Stegostoma tigrinum: one gene and its partner. The main gene of each other region encodes a partner of the protein of the gene in region 2 in a complex. Links are inferred from orthologs where the notes say so. Each region holds a gene or a part of one and is shown on either strand. Other genes may lie near its edges.

Region 1 (7,388 bases), on a different chromosome or scaffold from region 2:
TGAGAGACAGCAGCCCAATGGTCTCTTAAGACTATGGTGACATGACCTGACTTTAATTGGATTATCATTTAAACAGCTAAATAAATGTAGAGCAGCAACTGCTTATCAAAATATTTATCATCTATGTACCTTCCCCATTTTGGGCACAGGTCCATAAAGGCCAATGTAAAAATCAAACCTCTGGCCTGCACGTATGGGTTGAAAATTTTGTTGCTTATTATCTAAAATACTTATGGCTCACATTGTTACCCCTAGGAAGCTTTGCTAACGCACCTTCTGATGTAGTTCTTGGTCCTTCAGTTTCTATGGTATCACTTGTTACAGTATAACAAATTCTGGTTAAAGCTGATTGCCCTATTATTTTAATAATATTTTCATTGTTACAGAGCCAGGGCTAAACAATGGCTCCACTTTGCTTCAGGGTACTAGTCGTCTAAGAATTCCACATATTGCAAATGTTTGATATCATTTATAACCATTTCACAAATTGATAAAGAGATGTGGGCCAGTGATGACAGAATCAGAATTACAGAACACAGAAACAAACCCTCGGTCCAACTCGCTACACTGACCAGACAGCCTAAACTGATTTAATCCCGTTTGCCAGCATTTGGCCAACATTCCTCTAAACCATTCCTATTCATGTGCCCATCCAGATGCCTTTTAAATGTTATAATTGTATCCACCTCCACCACCTCCTCTGGCAGCTCTGCATGAAAAAAATTGCACTTCAGACACCTTTTAAATCTTCCCCTCTCACCTCAAACCTACGCCCTCTAGGTTAGCATTCCCGTACCGTGGGAAAAGATCTTGGCTATTCACCCTATCCACACCCCATATGATTTTTTAAACCTCAATAAGGCCACCCCTCAGCCTCCAACACTTCAGGGAATAAAGCCCCAGCCTAATCAGCCTCTTGCGATAGCTCAAACCTTCCAGCCCTAAACTTCAACGTTCCTACTCCTCTGATGCTACTTGGCCTGCTGTGTTCATCCAGCTCTACACTTTGTTATCTCAGATTCTCCAGCATCTGCAGTTCCTACTAACTCTTGAAACAACCTTGTTACTCTTTCTGAACCCTTTCAAGTTTAATGACATCTTTCCTATAGCAGGGAGACACGTTGCCATACCTTGGCCGGTTCACACTTAACATACTTAATGTTGAAGATTAAGAGCAAGAAAGGCAGCATTTAAAACAAAAGCCTTGAATACCATCTGCGATAGGGTGTTCCTATAAACATACATCATGCCCATCTAATCTTTTTTCAATTATTCACCATAATGCCACTTGAAAACTAGACTCAAATGTTCCCAATGTGATGAAACACATTGAACCAGTGCAAAGTTATTTTATTCATATTCAAATCTCCTTCTTGACAAGCATAACATTCTAATTCAGTATTAAAAATCCTACTCAATCTGAAATGAATGATGTTGAATACGCCAGAGCATTTATCGATGTAATCTATGAGTGAGTTTTACTTGCTGCCTTAATTGGGCTACTTTAAAAACAAATTCATCATCTCAACCAAAGTTTGGCATGCCGAAGGCAGTAAATAAACCAATTATTTTACACCTCTCCTCAAAGTTGAACCATATTACTGCTTTACTTCTTTTTCCCGGTATATAAGACACAAGATCACAACTTATGACCTGTCTAGTATACAAGAATCTAAACAATTTACGCCTCGCAGGACGTTTTAAAAAACGTGCTCCATATGATAAAGCCTAATCAAGGCCTCTACTGAACTTTGCTAGGTAATTTCATAGGAGACTTAGAAAGACACCTATAAAACCCAAGCAGCTGATTCAGAATCTACTCTCAATTTGTGGGCAATAAAATCGAAGTTGTGTTAAAGTAAAGAATGCCAATGAGATTGCAACAAAGACGTAGAGATGGAGCAGGGCCTGGTGCCTCACGGTACAAGAAGCGAGGAGCGGTTCGAAATCTCATAGATAACAAAGTGTGGGGCCGGCCTCCAATCCAACGCGTCTCACGTGTTTGAGCTCAGCAGTGCCGGACGCTGGCAAGGGGGCGAGGAAGGCAAAAAACCTCCGGAGTCGGAGCCCGAGGCAGCAACTGGCGGGAGAATCCAGCAAACTCCCAGGTTGAGAGGGGAGTGCCGGCGGGTTGAGCCTGCTCACATCCCATTCACTGCAGCGTGTAGGCCCGGGCCGGAGAAAGGCAGGAAGACGCTTGTTGCCACCGGGTACATAAGAGGCTGCAGTGTGTGTGTGTGTGTGTGTGGTGGGGGTAACGGAGGGAGAAATGTTTTGAATACGGTACAACCCGGTCAGTCGGACAAAAGTCCCCCGGGGGGGGGGGGGGGTGAGGAGAGAAGCAAGGCCGCGGTATTGGGGGGGCGGGGGGAAGGATCACAGTAGACACATGCCGGCGGAACGGGACTCAGGGTAAAGTTTCAACTTTGAAAAAGGCACGAAAATGGATGCAGGGAGGGAGCCGCAGTTTCCGCTCGCAGGTTTAGGGGCATTGGTGGTGGGAGGTGTGCACACCAGTTGTGGGGCAAATCGTGCCACCACCGCGAGGCCGGGGGGGGGGGGGGGGGAAACAAAAGTGCCCCGATCCGACCGGGAAGGCGCACGCTCTGGATCACCGCCGTTCTCCCTCAGTCACTCACCAGGATCCGCTTGAAGAGGGCGTTCTCCTTGGCTGGCAGCGTTATCGACGGCATGGCTAGCTCTAGTGCAGCGGGCTCGGTGGCCGGTTCGCCGGGTCAAGTGAGACACGCGCTGTCTTTGGTGGTTTTACTTGCTTCCCCCCGAATACGATCCTGGGGCTCCTCAGCTCATGGGCCGCTTTTGCCTTTTTTCTCTCTCTCTCTCTCACACACACACACATGCACTTCTTCCTTCCCTCCTCTCTTTTCTACCCCCCCACCACCAGCCACTCCGCGGCCCCGCAATTTGCTCTCGCTTCGAGCGGAACCTCCGCCTTCACGTGTGTATTTTTTTTCCGCTCCGCTCCCTGCAGCACTGAATTCAGCGGAGGGGAGGAAAGAAAAACCCTCAACCAAAATGGCGGGGGCGGCAGTCAGCAGCAACGCCGGCTCCCTCCGGGTCAGCTGCCACTGCGCAGGCGCCGCTCGCAGCGAACCCTCACGCCGTCGGCTGACCTCACATGCGCGGAGCACGACGGGACAGTGGAGGACCGCGTGTGATCCTCCCAAGTGCGTGCCGAGTGATTCCCATCGAGAGCCAACTTTTGCTGGCCGTGTGTTATTCTTCCAGAGTTCTTGCGTTTTCATCATAAATTTGTTTTGTTTTTCTGAAATCCGGCGTAAACAAACAATATCAGTGACATAACAGTAGATTCCAATTTTCCTTATATACCTGACAATGTTTATATAGTAAAATTATCGTATGGGTGAATATCATGGAACCAAGAAGATAATAAAAGTAACACCCGCAGTATTTTGATTTTGTTAACACGCAGCTTGTAGACCGCAGTGTATTAATACAAACAGGAATGTATGTATTCCGGCCAGTAGCATCGGTTAAGTTTAACACGTCAAGGTGATTCCTTGAGATCTGCACCTACACTAACACTTCCTGATGAAAGGCGAGAAAGTAGGTGTGGCTCCCAGTATATGTTCTGACTCTTGTGAGAGAATCCTCCCACTTCATTTAAGTACCACTGGATTTGCAAAACCGACCGTACGCCACATTCGGCAATTCTTTTAAACTAAGATTCCGTGCACGTTAATAGCAACACTTAAATGGAAAACTGTCTATCATCTACTTGCTAAGTAGAGGACGATAATCAGCTCGGGAAGATCTTTCGAGACAACGAAGAGTGAACGTTTGAGTTGTATCGGTAATTTCCGGTATTATTATTCTTTGAGACAAAACAAGGCCACCGATTTGAATTTAAAGTTGCTTTCACCCAGTATTTGGGATTCGGACTCGCAATCCGTGCGCACCAAATCCATTTCAAGCCACTTATTCAGTTTCAAAGGGCAGAAACGCAGGGATCCAGGGGTATTCAGACATTGTTGAAGGTAACATGGCAGGTTGAGAAAGTGGATAAGACTTTGACTTTGACCAGGAGATCTTGGATACAAACACTGAGAATGCTGGAGAAACTCTGCATTTGTAGATAAACAAACAGTTTGACGCTTCTTCTGAAATCATATCGAATTTGAAATGTTAACTGTTTTTCTCCCTATAGCTGCTGAATTTCTCCAACGTTCTGTGTCTATTTCGAAATTCCTGAATCTGTACCATTTTATTTTTTGCCTGTATAAATAGAGGAATAGAGTATAAAATACAGCATTTATTAGTCCATCCCTAATTGCCCTTGGAAACGGTGCGGTGAGCTACCTTATTGAAGCAGCGCCGGCCATTTGGTGCAAATAGACCTACGATGCTGTTGGGGAGAGTGATTAGGAAGGCTATGGTGGCACTAGTGATTTTAAAAATGTCAGGAATGCCTCTAGATATGAGGGACTTCTTTGGTTATTTGGAGCAATCGTAGCTGAAGGAGAAGGTTGAGAGAGGATTTAATAGGGGTGTTCCATAGCTCATAAGGGAACTCAACAGCTTCCAAGCCTCACTGGTACACCAGTTAGTATCCAGCTATTAGTTTAGCTTACGTCTCTTACAAGGAAAGTTGTATTGTGAGAGGAAACTGCAACTGACTTCAGTGATGCAATTATCTGCAATGGAAAACAAGACAACTGAAACACCACAGCAAGGAGGGGGGTTATCAAGTTCAGAGAAGTGGTACTGAAGCTTTTAGTCATGCAATCTGAATGAAGACTGTGACCATGGTTTCATAGAGACCAAGAATTTGTTAGGGAATGCCTTCCAACCAGAGGAGGTGACTAATGAAGACAAAACAAATAGCCTAATTCCATGAACCTGGCTGTAGTACTGGAAAATGTTCAATGACTGCATATAAATCAGGGACTGCACCTGTAGATTGCAGATATGCTGTGGTGAGTATTGCAAAGTTCAAGTCAAGCATTCTCTGCAGCAGAACCATTGCTTGAGAAACTTTCTAATAGATACTTGGCATTCATTAGTAGAACAGGGATCATTAACCAGGTGTACCACCCTTGATTATGTTTTAGATACTCAAAATTTGCCAGGATCAGCAATTTGTCTGAGGGTAGTGAGCATTCATCACTAATGATGTTACAACCACAGGTCTTCAACAGATAAATGTTACTCTAAGGCAAAGAAACTCAAAGGAAAAGGTGAATCAACCATGGTGAAAGAAAGAAGTTAAACATTGTATTTAATCAAAGGCAATGACTTCTAAGAATGCCAGAGGTAGTGGTAAACTTGAGAATTTGGATTAATTTATGACCCAGCAAAGGAAGTCCAAAAAAACTGATAAGGAAAGGGAAAAGTGAACATGAATGCAAGCTGGTGAAGAACATAAAAGTGCCTTGGAGATGCATCTCTGATATATGAAAAGAGAAAAGATTAACAACAGTAATTGTTGGTCCATTACAAATGGGGACAGGATTATTTGCATTTCAAATTGTGGGAGGTGGAGAAACTAGGCAGAAACACAAGGTGGCCAAGGAGCTTGTGTAACTGAAAAGCTGAAAGAACTTAACCTTAGTCAGGTGGTAATACTTGGAAAAATTAGCTGGATTGAGGGTTGATAAGTCTTCTGGACCAGGTGAGCTTTATCACAGAGTACGGAAGGAAGTAGCAATAGAAGTAGTGATTGCATGGACGATTGCCTCTGATAATTCCATAGATTCTGGAAGGCACAAATATAACTCCACTGTTTCAGAATGGAGAAACATGGGGAATGGAAAAATACAGACCTATTAGTTTGGTAGCCATAGTACAGAAAATATTAGAATCTGTTATAAAAGTTGTGATAACTGAACATTTATTAAAAATCTCAAATTGGGCAAAGTCAACTCAGATTAATGAAAGGGAACTTATATTTGACAGACTTTTGTTTGCGGCATAAATAAGGGAAAACCAGTGGATGTGGTGTATTTGGATTTTCAGAAGACTCTTGACAAAATCCCACTAGCCAGTATAATTATAGCACATGGGATTGCGGGAGGTTATAGTGCTATGGATTAAGAATTGGGTCAATAGACAGAAAGCAGAGAGGAATAAGTGGATCATTCTCAGGGTGGTAGGTTGTTACTAGTGTTACTACTAGTAGGACCATTCACAAAATATTAATAGTTATTTGAATGGCAGGACAATTGTACCCTTTCCAAATTTAGGTCAGGAGCAGTGTGCAAGGAAGTTCCAGTGGGATTTGGACATGCCAAGTAAATGAGGTAGAACGTTACAGATGAAAATGGTGTAAATAAGCATGAGGATTTTCATCTGTCTTGAAAAAAAAGTCATAAAGGCAGAATATTTCTTAAATGGTGCAATGTTGAAAGTGTAGGTGTCTAAAGGGATCAAATATTACTGTCTGTGTCACTAACTGGTAGCGTGGAGGTGCGGCAAGAATTTAGAAAGGCAAACAGTATGCTGGTATTCATGCCTTGGGAATTTAATTGCATAAGTAAAGATGTCTTGCTGCAGTTGTACAGGACCTTGGTGAGAACTCAGTTGGAGTATTGTGTACAGTTTCAGTCTCTTTAACTGACAAAGCATATATGTGCCATGGAGGGAGTGCAATGGTGGTTTATCAGATTAACCCCGAGGATGGCAGGGTTGCTTCATGAGGAGACATTAGAGAATACAAATCCAATTTCTTTAAAGATTCAAAGAATGAGAGGTGGTTCCACTGCAGCTTGAAAAATACAGGGCAAGACAAATAGGATGGGATGTTTCCCTTGGCTGGCGGTTCAAGAATGGCAAAACAAATGTTCTTCACCCAACTTGACAAAGGCATTCAAATGAGAAGAGGATGAAGGAAGCACTTCAAAGACTTCCTGAAGGTTTCTGTCAAGAAATATAACATAGATGTCAATACACGTGAGACCCTCATTCAGAATAAACTGACTTGGAGGAATGTTCCATACAAAGGAGCACAACTCTTTGAGAATACACATCAGCAAGAGGAAGAATGGAAGAGGAACCAGTGAAAGAAATGTCAGTGATCTTAATGCCACAGACCTATTCCACTTCCTAGAAACACCTGCCAAATTTATGGTCAGAGATGCAGCTGCAGGATTGAATTCATCAGCCTTGCAAGGACCCTCAGAATCCATGACTAGTGTCATGGAATTTCCTTAGGTGGACAATCATACACGTAAATGAGTGATTGGTGACTAAGATGAGTTCAAGAACCAGGGGATATAATATCAGTACAAAGATAGGCCATTTAAACTGAGTTGAGGAGGAGTTTCTTCATTCACAGGGTAGTGAATATTTGGAAATTTCTACGGAAGCTCAATAATTCAGGTTCAAGAATAAATTGATAGGTTTCTGTA
Region 2 (7,963 bases):
CAATGTGATGTCGACTGACTGTTCCACTACTTCCTGAATAGTGCTTTGACACATCCAAAAACCACGTTCAGAATGCTAAGTTCTTGTGTTCCTTGGTGACAGAGTCAGGAAGTAACTTTGTGCTTAAGTAGTTTGCATCGCGTAGCAAATAGGTTGGTTATACTGGGCCTCTCCTTTTCTTGCTCACACTAGAAACCTTATATTTAAAAACAATGGATCTTTTTCCTTATATTGACCTTTCAAATGCTCCTGCCTCTTGCTCATTAGATATTGTGCCCAATAACTTCACACTTGCCTCAATTTATGTTTTTCAGGTGTCCTACAACATTATTGCCACTTGCCACACTATCTCTAGTTTCAGCATAGTTTCACCAAATGTTTCTGGAGAGTCATCCAGGTAACAATACTCCATTTAATGCCTGGCCATCTCCTGATAATAAGCTGTCTCAATTGTCAGCATGTCCTGCCTTTCGATTACTATTTTTCACACGTTCACTTCAGTTTGATTTCGGAAGCAGCAGTCAAGGACTTAGATACTTACTGCAAAAAAGCACAGTAAATACTTGCGAGACAGTAATTGAACACTGACACTCATACCAAGAATTAAACTGTCATTAACCACAGGGAAGATAGCATCATTAATGTTGGAAAATATTCCAAGGCACACCTCAGGAGTATATTCAACAAGTCATAGGTAAAAATGTTAGGACATGTGACTAAACATTTATTCAAAAAGCTAAGTTTCAAGAAACATCTTAATGAAGAAAGAGGTAGCAAGGCAAAGCCAGATGAACGATGGTAGTGGGAATAAAATCAAGCACGCACGAGAGGCTAAATTAGAGGAACACATAACTCAGAGGATTGACATCTGAAGAGTGTAGAAATGGAATAACGCCAAGGTCACGAATTTAAACAAGAATGACTATTGTAATAATCACTGTGTATTATAAGGATTTCTCATTTTTAATTACTGTATTTCTTAAAATAAATGTGAAGGAGTTAAGTCCAGTACTGATCATTATTGAGGGCATAAACAAACTAATGTGTGCAGGTTACAATTTTCTACACTTCACTGTGTTCCCCTGAAAACAATACTAACAACTGAGTATTTCACAGGTGGTAGGTACACACTGAATCCTTGTCTTAATAATTGCTCTCTATGTGTGTAACTAAACAGTGGAAACCTTAGCAATGTAAGGAACACCACAATCTCTAATTCCAGCAGAAATTATTAGATAGTAATCAGGAGGAGGAATCACAGTTGATTTTAACTTCTCTAATCCAGTGATGTTACATCAATGCAGCTCTTCAGCAAACATCAAGAAACATAATACAAGCCAGTAGTAATTCTTCCAAACCATGCAGCCCAGTTACACACCGATTTGATCAAGTGCACCGACTCTACAGCTTATTCTAATTCATACATCATTTCACTAATCCTATTCCCTTACTTTCCTTTTTACTCCACAACAAAAATTAGAGATTAGGCTCAAAAATCTACATGAAAAGAACTGTAATACTAATGGAAGATTTACTTCAGGAAAAATCACACAAAAGATTTATTTACATTGCATATTACACAATTTCAGGACATCCCAAAGCAGCTTATAGCAAAGGCAAGATTTGTCTCAATTTCCACCACTGATTTTATTTACAACTTAGTCTTGACAAAATAGTTAAAACATGTGTTACAGCATAAACAAAATTTTTATTTAAATATTTCCTTGCAAATTTCATTTCTTACCCTTCAAAACGTATTAATGATAATAAAATGAGAGGCTGGATGAACACAGCAGGCCAAGCAGCATCTCAGGAGCACAAAAGCTTTTGAGCTCCTGAGATGCTGCTTGGCCTGCTGTGTTCATCCAGCCTCTCATTTTATTATCTTGGAATTCTCCAGCATCTGCAGTTCCCATTATCTCTAAAACATATTAATGATTGGTATTTTAGATTCTGTTCTACATAGAAGTTACAAAGCATTGATAATAGCATCTTCAGACTTCACAGGGAAAATATGTCAAAGAATAGAAAATAATTGATAAAAACGTATTAATTTATTTTCATGCCCAGCAGGGTCATTTGACCATTTTATGAGTAATCACGGTACATGAAAAAATTCCCAGATAAATTGAGCAGAAAATGAATCTGACAGAAACACTGAAAGCAACAGTTGAAACACTTCACCAACAAAATGTAACCTGTTATGTGTAAATACATAAATAATAGATCATAGAACATAAACAGAGTTGATGGAGCGAATTACTGGTAGGGGTTGGGGGAGGCAGTTGGATTTATTGAGGTATTACAATGGAGAGAGACTTAGCTGGGTTATGTCTCCGGGGAAAGGGGAGGGGTGGTAAGCTGGATTCTGCTCGGGGTTCATGAGGGGAGTCCGATTGAAAACTCAGTTCCTGGATTCATAATTAGAGGAAAAAGTCAATTAAAAGTAAAGTACTCTGGATGCTGAGTATGTGATTTTTTTTAAAAAAGTGTTGAGAAACTCCGCAGGTCTGGTAGCATCTGGGGACAGGAAAAAAAAACAGAATTAACGTGTCGAATCCAACAGAACACTTCTTCGGCACAGAAAAAAAGGTTTACCTCCGCCCTGAGTGAGGCAGAGAAGGGAAAAAGTGAGAAGGCCGCAGAAATCAGGCCCCCCAACTCCACCTACAACTCAACTAAAATAAAACTCTGACGGAGGAACTCCCGCCGCTTGCCCGAGGCCGCTGAGGGGAGCGGGGGAGCTGGGGGGGGGGGGGGGGCGGCGAGATCAGCTCCGACAGGCCGGGCCTCTTCTCTTCCCCCCCTCGCCTGCCATCCAGCGTGCTTGTCAGTTGGACTCACCCCTTCATGATGGGCGGGCGCTTGTCCGTCTTCACCTGGTGACCGAGCGGCGAGGAGCAGGAGGATGGAGGTGAATCGCCCAAACTCTTCAGCCCCTAACACATGCCACTCGCCGCGCACGCTCCTCTCCGCGCCACCCACTCTTCACCTCTGACCCCTGACCTCAGTCGGGCTTTTTGGGAGGGGGGTGGCGGTGGCGGTAGGAAATGGTTGGGGGAGGGCAATACGTTCGGCTCCTGCCCGACGACAGCCGAGTGTTCCCGACTGCGGGCCGAATGCCCTCCGAGTCTTCCCGAATCCCGGCCCGGTCTCCGCGAGTGGAGCCGAGTCCACCCGACTCTGGCACGCGTGGTGCCGAGTCGGACCAAGGCACGGCCAGGACTTCACGAACGGAGACGAGTCCGTTCGGGTGGTGCCTGAGTTCGCCCACCTCCAGGCCAGCTCCTCACGAATGGAGCCGAGTCTATCCGACTGTGCACCGAGTCAGCCCGACTGCGGGCCTGGTCTCGAGCAGGGGAGCCGCGAGTGAAACCGAGTGCATCTCGGACTATCCGAACCCTAACGAATTCCTCTCAGAAATAATCACCTGTATCGTTTAAATTTCTGTCCTTTTTATTTGAGTTATAAATTTAGAGAAAATATAACCGCCGACCATAGGCGGACTATTGGAATTAACTTGAAAGAAACGACAGCCACTGTAACCTTTTCACCCTCTACCAGTTCCATATCATGTTCATATCGGCCTTCGCGTAGAAATAAACTCCCCGCCAGTCCCTACGAGGGTCCTCCCGAGTGATGTTTATGTTAGTGGTAATGGGAACTGCAGAAGCTGGAGAATCCAAGATAACAAAGTGTGGAGCTGGATGAACACAGCAGGCCCAGCAGCATCTCAGGAGCACAAAAGCTGACGTTTCGGGCCTAGACCCTTCATCAGAGAGGGGGATGGGGTGAGGGTTCTGGAATAAATAGGGAGAGAGGGGGAGGCGGACCGAAGATGGAGAGAAAAGAAGATAGGTGGAGAGGAGAGTATAGGTGGAGAGAGTATAGGTGGGGAGGTAGGGAGGGGATAGGTCACTTCAGGGAAGACAGGTCAAGGAGGTGGGATGAGGTTAGTAGGTAGATGGGGGTGCGGCTTGTGGTGGGAGGAAGGGATGGGTGAGAGGAAGAACAGGTTAGGGAAGTGGAGGGGAGTGTGGAGCAGACAAGGGAGTTGTGGAGAGAGTGGTCTCTGTGGAAGGCAGACAAGGGGGGGGATGGAAAAATGTCTTGGGTGGTGGGATCGGATTGTAGATGGCGGAAGTGTCGGAGGATGATGCGTTGTATCCGGAGGTATGTGAGAACGAGGGGGATCCTCTGGGGGCGGTTGTTGCGGGAAATGCGGTCAAGGGCGTTCTCGACCACTGCGGGGGGAATGTTGTGGTCCTTGAAGAACGTGGACATCTGGGATGTGCGGGAGTGGAATGCCTCATCCTGGGAGCAGATGCGGCGGAGGCAGAGGAATTGGGAATAGGGGATGGAACCCACCCTCCTGCAAAAATTCCATCCCCTATTCCCAATTCCTCCGCCTCCACTGCATCTGCTCCCACAATGAGGCATTCCACTCCCACACATCCCAGATGTCCAAGTTCTTCAAGGACCACAACTTTCCCCCTGCAGTGGTTGAGAACGCCCTTGACCGCATTTCCCGCAACACATCCCTCACACACCGCCCCTGCCACAACCGCCCCCAGAGGATCCCCCTCGTCCTCACACACCACCCCACCAACCTCCGGATACAACGCATCATCCTCCGACACTTCCGCCATCTACAATCCGACCCCACCACCCAAGACATTTTTCCATCCCCACCCTTGTCTGCTTTGCGGAGAGACCACTCTCTCCACGACTCCCTTGTCTGCTCCACACACCCCTCCACTTCCCTAACCTGTTCTTCCTCTCACCCATCCCTTCCTCCCACCCCAAGCCACACCTCCGTCTCCTACCTACTAACCTCATCCCACCTCCTTGAGAGATAAAGGGAACTGCAGATGCTGGAGAATTCCAAGATAATAAAATGTGAGGCTGGATGAACACAGCAGGCCAAGCAGCATCTCAGGAGCACAAAAGCTGATGTTTCGGGCCTCGACCCTTCATCAGAGAGGGGGATGGGGAGAGGGAACTGGAATAAATAGGGAGAGAGTGGGAGGCAGACTGAAGGTGGAGAGTAAAGAAGATAGGTGGAGGGAGTATAGGTGGGGAGGTAGGGAGGGGATAGGTCAGTCCAGGGAAGACGGACAGGTCAAGGAGGTGGGATGAGGTTAGTAGGTAGATGGGGGTGCGGCTTGGGGTGGGAGGAAGGGATGGGTGAGAGGAAGAACCGGTTAGGGAGGCAGAGACAGGTTGGACTGGTTTTGGGATACAGTGGGGGGAGGGGACGAACTGGGCTGGTTTAGGGATGCAGGAGGGGAAGGGGAGATTTTGAAACTGGTGAAGTCCACATTGATACCATTGGGCTGCAGGGTTCCCAGGCGGAATATGAGTTGCTGTTCCTGCAACCTCCTTGAGCTGTCCGTCTTCCCCTCCCTACCTCCCCACCTATACTCTCCTCTCCACCTATCTTCTTTACTCTCCATCTTCAGTCCGCCTCCCCCTCTCTCCCTATTTATTCCAGTTCCCTCTCCCCATCCCCCTCTCTGATGAAGGGTCTAGGCCCGAAACGTCAGCTTTTGTGCTCCTGAGATGCTGCTTGGCTTGATGTTTATGATATTTATTTTACATAGAAAAGGCTGTTATCACGTGACTTGCTGAGTTCTTCCCTCCCCCCAACCCTCGGAAATTGTAATTCATCAATTCGCAAACATTACCGGAGTTTAAAACAATTTTGAAGAGGAAACGATCAAATTTTGATTCGGCGTTTATCTTAAAAAAATTTTTAAAAATCCCTCGGAATAGCGGAGGGGTGACGCACCGAGACGTCAGCGCGCCTGACATTTTCGCCTCCGTCCTCCACTGAGCACTGCAAAAGTCGTAAAGTTTTATTTATTTTATTTTATTTTGTTACACTCTTTCGGATGGTGACCTGAGGTGCGGTGTTAAAACATTGAAAATTAGGCTCGAGCGAAATATTAATTTCGGCAGCCCCGCCCCCTCCGTGCCGGCCGGCCGGCCCGCCCCCGCGCGCATGCGCTAGGATCAGCTGACTGAGCCGATCGGAGCTTGAGATCGGAGAGTCCGGAGCAGGTGAAGGAGGCTTCTCCTCAGCCAAGGTACATCGAGGAGGGTTTCCCTTGTCGGCCTTACTCGCTCGCTCGGCCGGCCGCACTGTTGCTGTTAGTCCGCGGCCCGATCGGTTCGGCCTGTTTGGGTTTTTGACGGTCGCGCAGCGTCCTGGGGGCAGGAGACTCTGACACCTAATCCGCCATCACCGCAGCCGCCCGGGCTCAGTGAGCTGCTTGTGCAGACCTTACGGTGCGAAGCTGTTCAAGCGTGTCCCTTCCCTGTCAGGCTGGCGGCGGGCTTTGGAGTACTGTGAGCGGGTTCGGGCCCTGCATCGAAGGCAGTGTGTGTTGGCGTTGGAGAGTAGCCCCGGGAGGAACAAAAGCAGAAGTCGCTGGAAAATCTCGGCAGGTCTGGCCGCACCTGTGAAGAAAGATCAAGAGTTAACGTTTCGGGTTCGACGACCCTTCCTCCGAACCGGACCCGAAAAGTTAACTCCGATTTTTCTTCACAGATGCTGCCAGACCTGCCGAGATTTTCCAGCGACTTCTGCTTTTGTTCCTGAATGATCATGGGGCTGAAAGGCTTGTCAGATGAGGAATGGAAGAGGACTCTGGTTCTGTACTTGATGGAGTTTAAAAGGATGGAAGGGTGGATATGGTTGGAACTAATAGAATATCTGAATAAGCGTTCTGACCCAAAATGTCGACTTTCCTACTCTTCTGCCTGACCACCTGTGCTCGTCTTGTTCCATGTTGTATTGACTCGGAATATTGAGGGTTATGGATAATGTGAAAACTGTTTCTACTGGTATGAGGATCTGAGGGCACACCTCAGAGGGGTGACCTTTTGGAATTGAAATGAGGAATTTATTCAGCCAGAGGGTGGGTAATCTGGTGAATTCATTGCAGCAGAGAGCTGTGGAGTTCTTGAATGGTAAGCGTATCAAGTGTTATGGAGAAGGCAGGAGAATTGGATTGAGAAACATGGCAGGCATGATCAAACGGTGAAGTAGATCAGTGGGCTGAATGGCCTGCTTCTGTTTCCGTGTCTCGTGGTCTTTGCTCGTGCTTAAATGGATTTGTTTTCCTGTCTCTTGCTCCACTCCCCCATCTCTTTCTATTCTGTCCTAATTCTCCTCACTTTCTGCCCATCTCCTCCGTTTAGCTCTCAAATTATATTGTACTCTCCTCTCCCATCCCACTAATCTCTGTGCCTGTAACAAGCTTCTTTGCACAACCCTGGTTGAATTGTCAATTTATCCTCTGGTAGATTGTATCATCTTTTCCCTCATCTTTGTACTATTTCTCTCAATTTATACATTTTTTCTCCATTTGTTCACATTGTGCACTTTTCTGCTTCTCCCTAAGCCTATCCCACTGAAAAAAAAATTCCAATTGCTCTCTGGAGTGTGTATTAACATTTTTGGAGTTGACTTATGAATATGCTCAAATCTATTCTCCCACTGTCTAATGACATAAATCATGGAAGGAAAGGGAGTGTGTGAGGTGTCAAGCACTGGTATACGTCGATAGTGGGAAGTGAAACAGGAGTTTTGCAATTCAAGAAATCTTGAAAGCACTGTTCAACTCCTCACTAAAGACAAAGACGACAAGTTTTAAATCGTATCATATCCATGCTGAAACGTCCTCATGATAAATGCACCCAGCATTGTGGACTTTGAACGTGTTACGGCAATTTCAGTTATGTGCATCAGTAAAATATGATATTCTTGTGATTGTTTAATCCTAAATTGGTTTCTGCTTAATGTACTTGTATAAGCTAGCCTAAGTGTACATATCACACGTTGCTAGCTAATTCTCTTAAGCCTTTTATTCTGAAATGTGTGTTTGTGACTTCTTACAATTTGTGATTTAGCTTTGCTTTAACTTAATTTAGCTTTAACTCATCACGTAGCGTAGAA

The links. Proteins that work in one complex are often made in the same cells at the same time.
Region 1: the proteins of naa50 (region 2) and naa15a are in contact, whole or in part, in a cryo-EM structure (PDB 6PPL), measured with the Homo sapiens proteins. The link is inferred for Stegostoma tigrinum from reciprocal best matches to the Homo sapiens genes NAA50 and NAA15. Residues at the interface, in NP_079422.1 of Homo sapiens: Arg5, His14, Asn15, Lys17, Gln18, Arg21, Leu22, Val25, Phe51, Asn52, Ile54, Ala55, Leu80, Pro82, Tyr83, Leu86; in NP_476516.1 of Homo sapiens: Pro369, Pro370, Thr371, Leu374, Ser403, Thr404, Pro405, Thr406, Leu407, Ile408, Phe411, Glu433, Ala436, Leu437, Asp438, Thr439, Ala440.

The regions. Positions count from the first base shown.
Region 1 is NC_081354.1:25,840,390-25,847,777, reverse strand, and holds the start of naa15a (N-alpha-acetyltransferase 15, NatA auxiliary subunit a), read right to left. Parts: upstream 3,105-7,388; 5' UTR 2,694-3,104; coding exon 2,640-2,693; intron 1-2,639. UniProt on the Homo sapiens protein: Auxillary subunit of N-terminal acetyltransferase complexes which display alpha (N-terminal) acetyltransferase (NAT) activity. The NAT activity may be important for vascular, hematopoietic and neuronal growth and development.
Region 2 is NC_081359.1:15,223,100-15,231,062, reverse strand, and holds the start of naa50 (N-alpha-acetyltransferase 50), read right to left. Parts: upstream 3,018-7,963; 5' UTR 2,853-3,017; coding exon 2,845-2,852; intron 1-2,844. UniProt on the Homo sapiens protein: N-alpha-acetyltransferase that acetylates the N-terminus of proteins that retain their initiating methionine. Has a broad substrate specificity: able to acetylate the initiator methionine of most peptides, except for those with a proline in second position.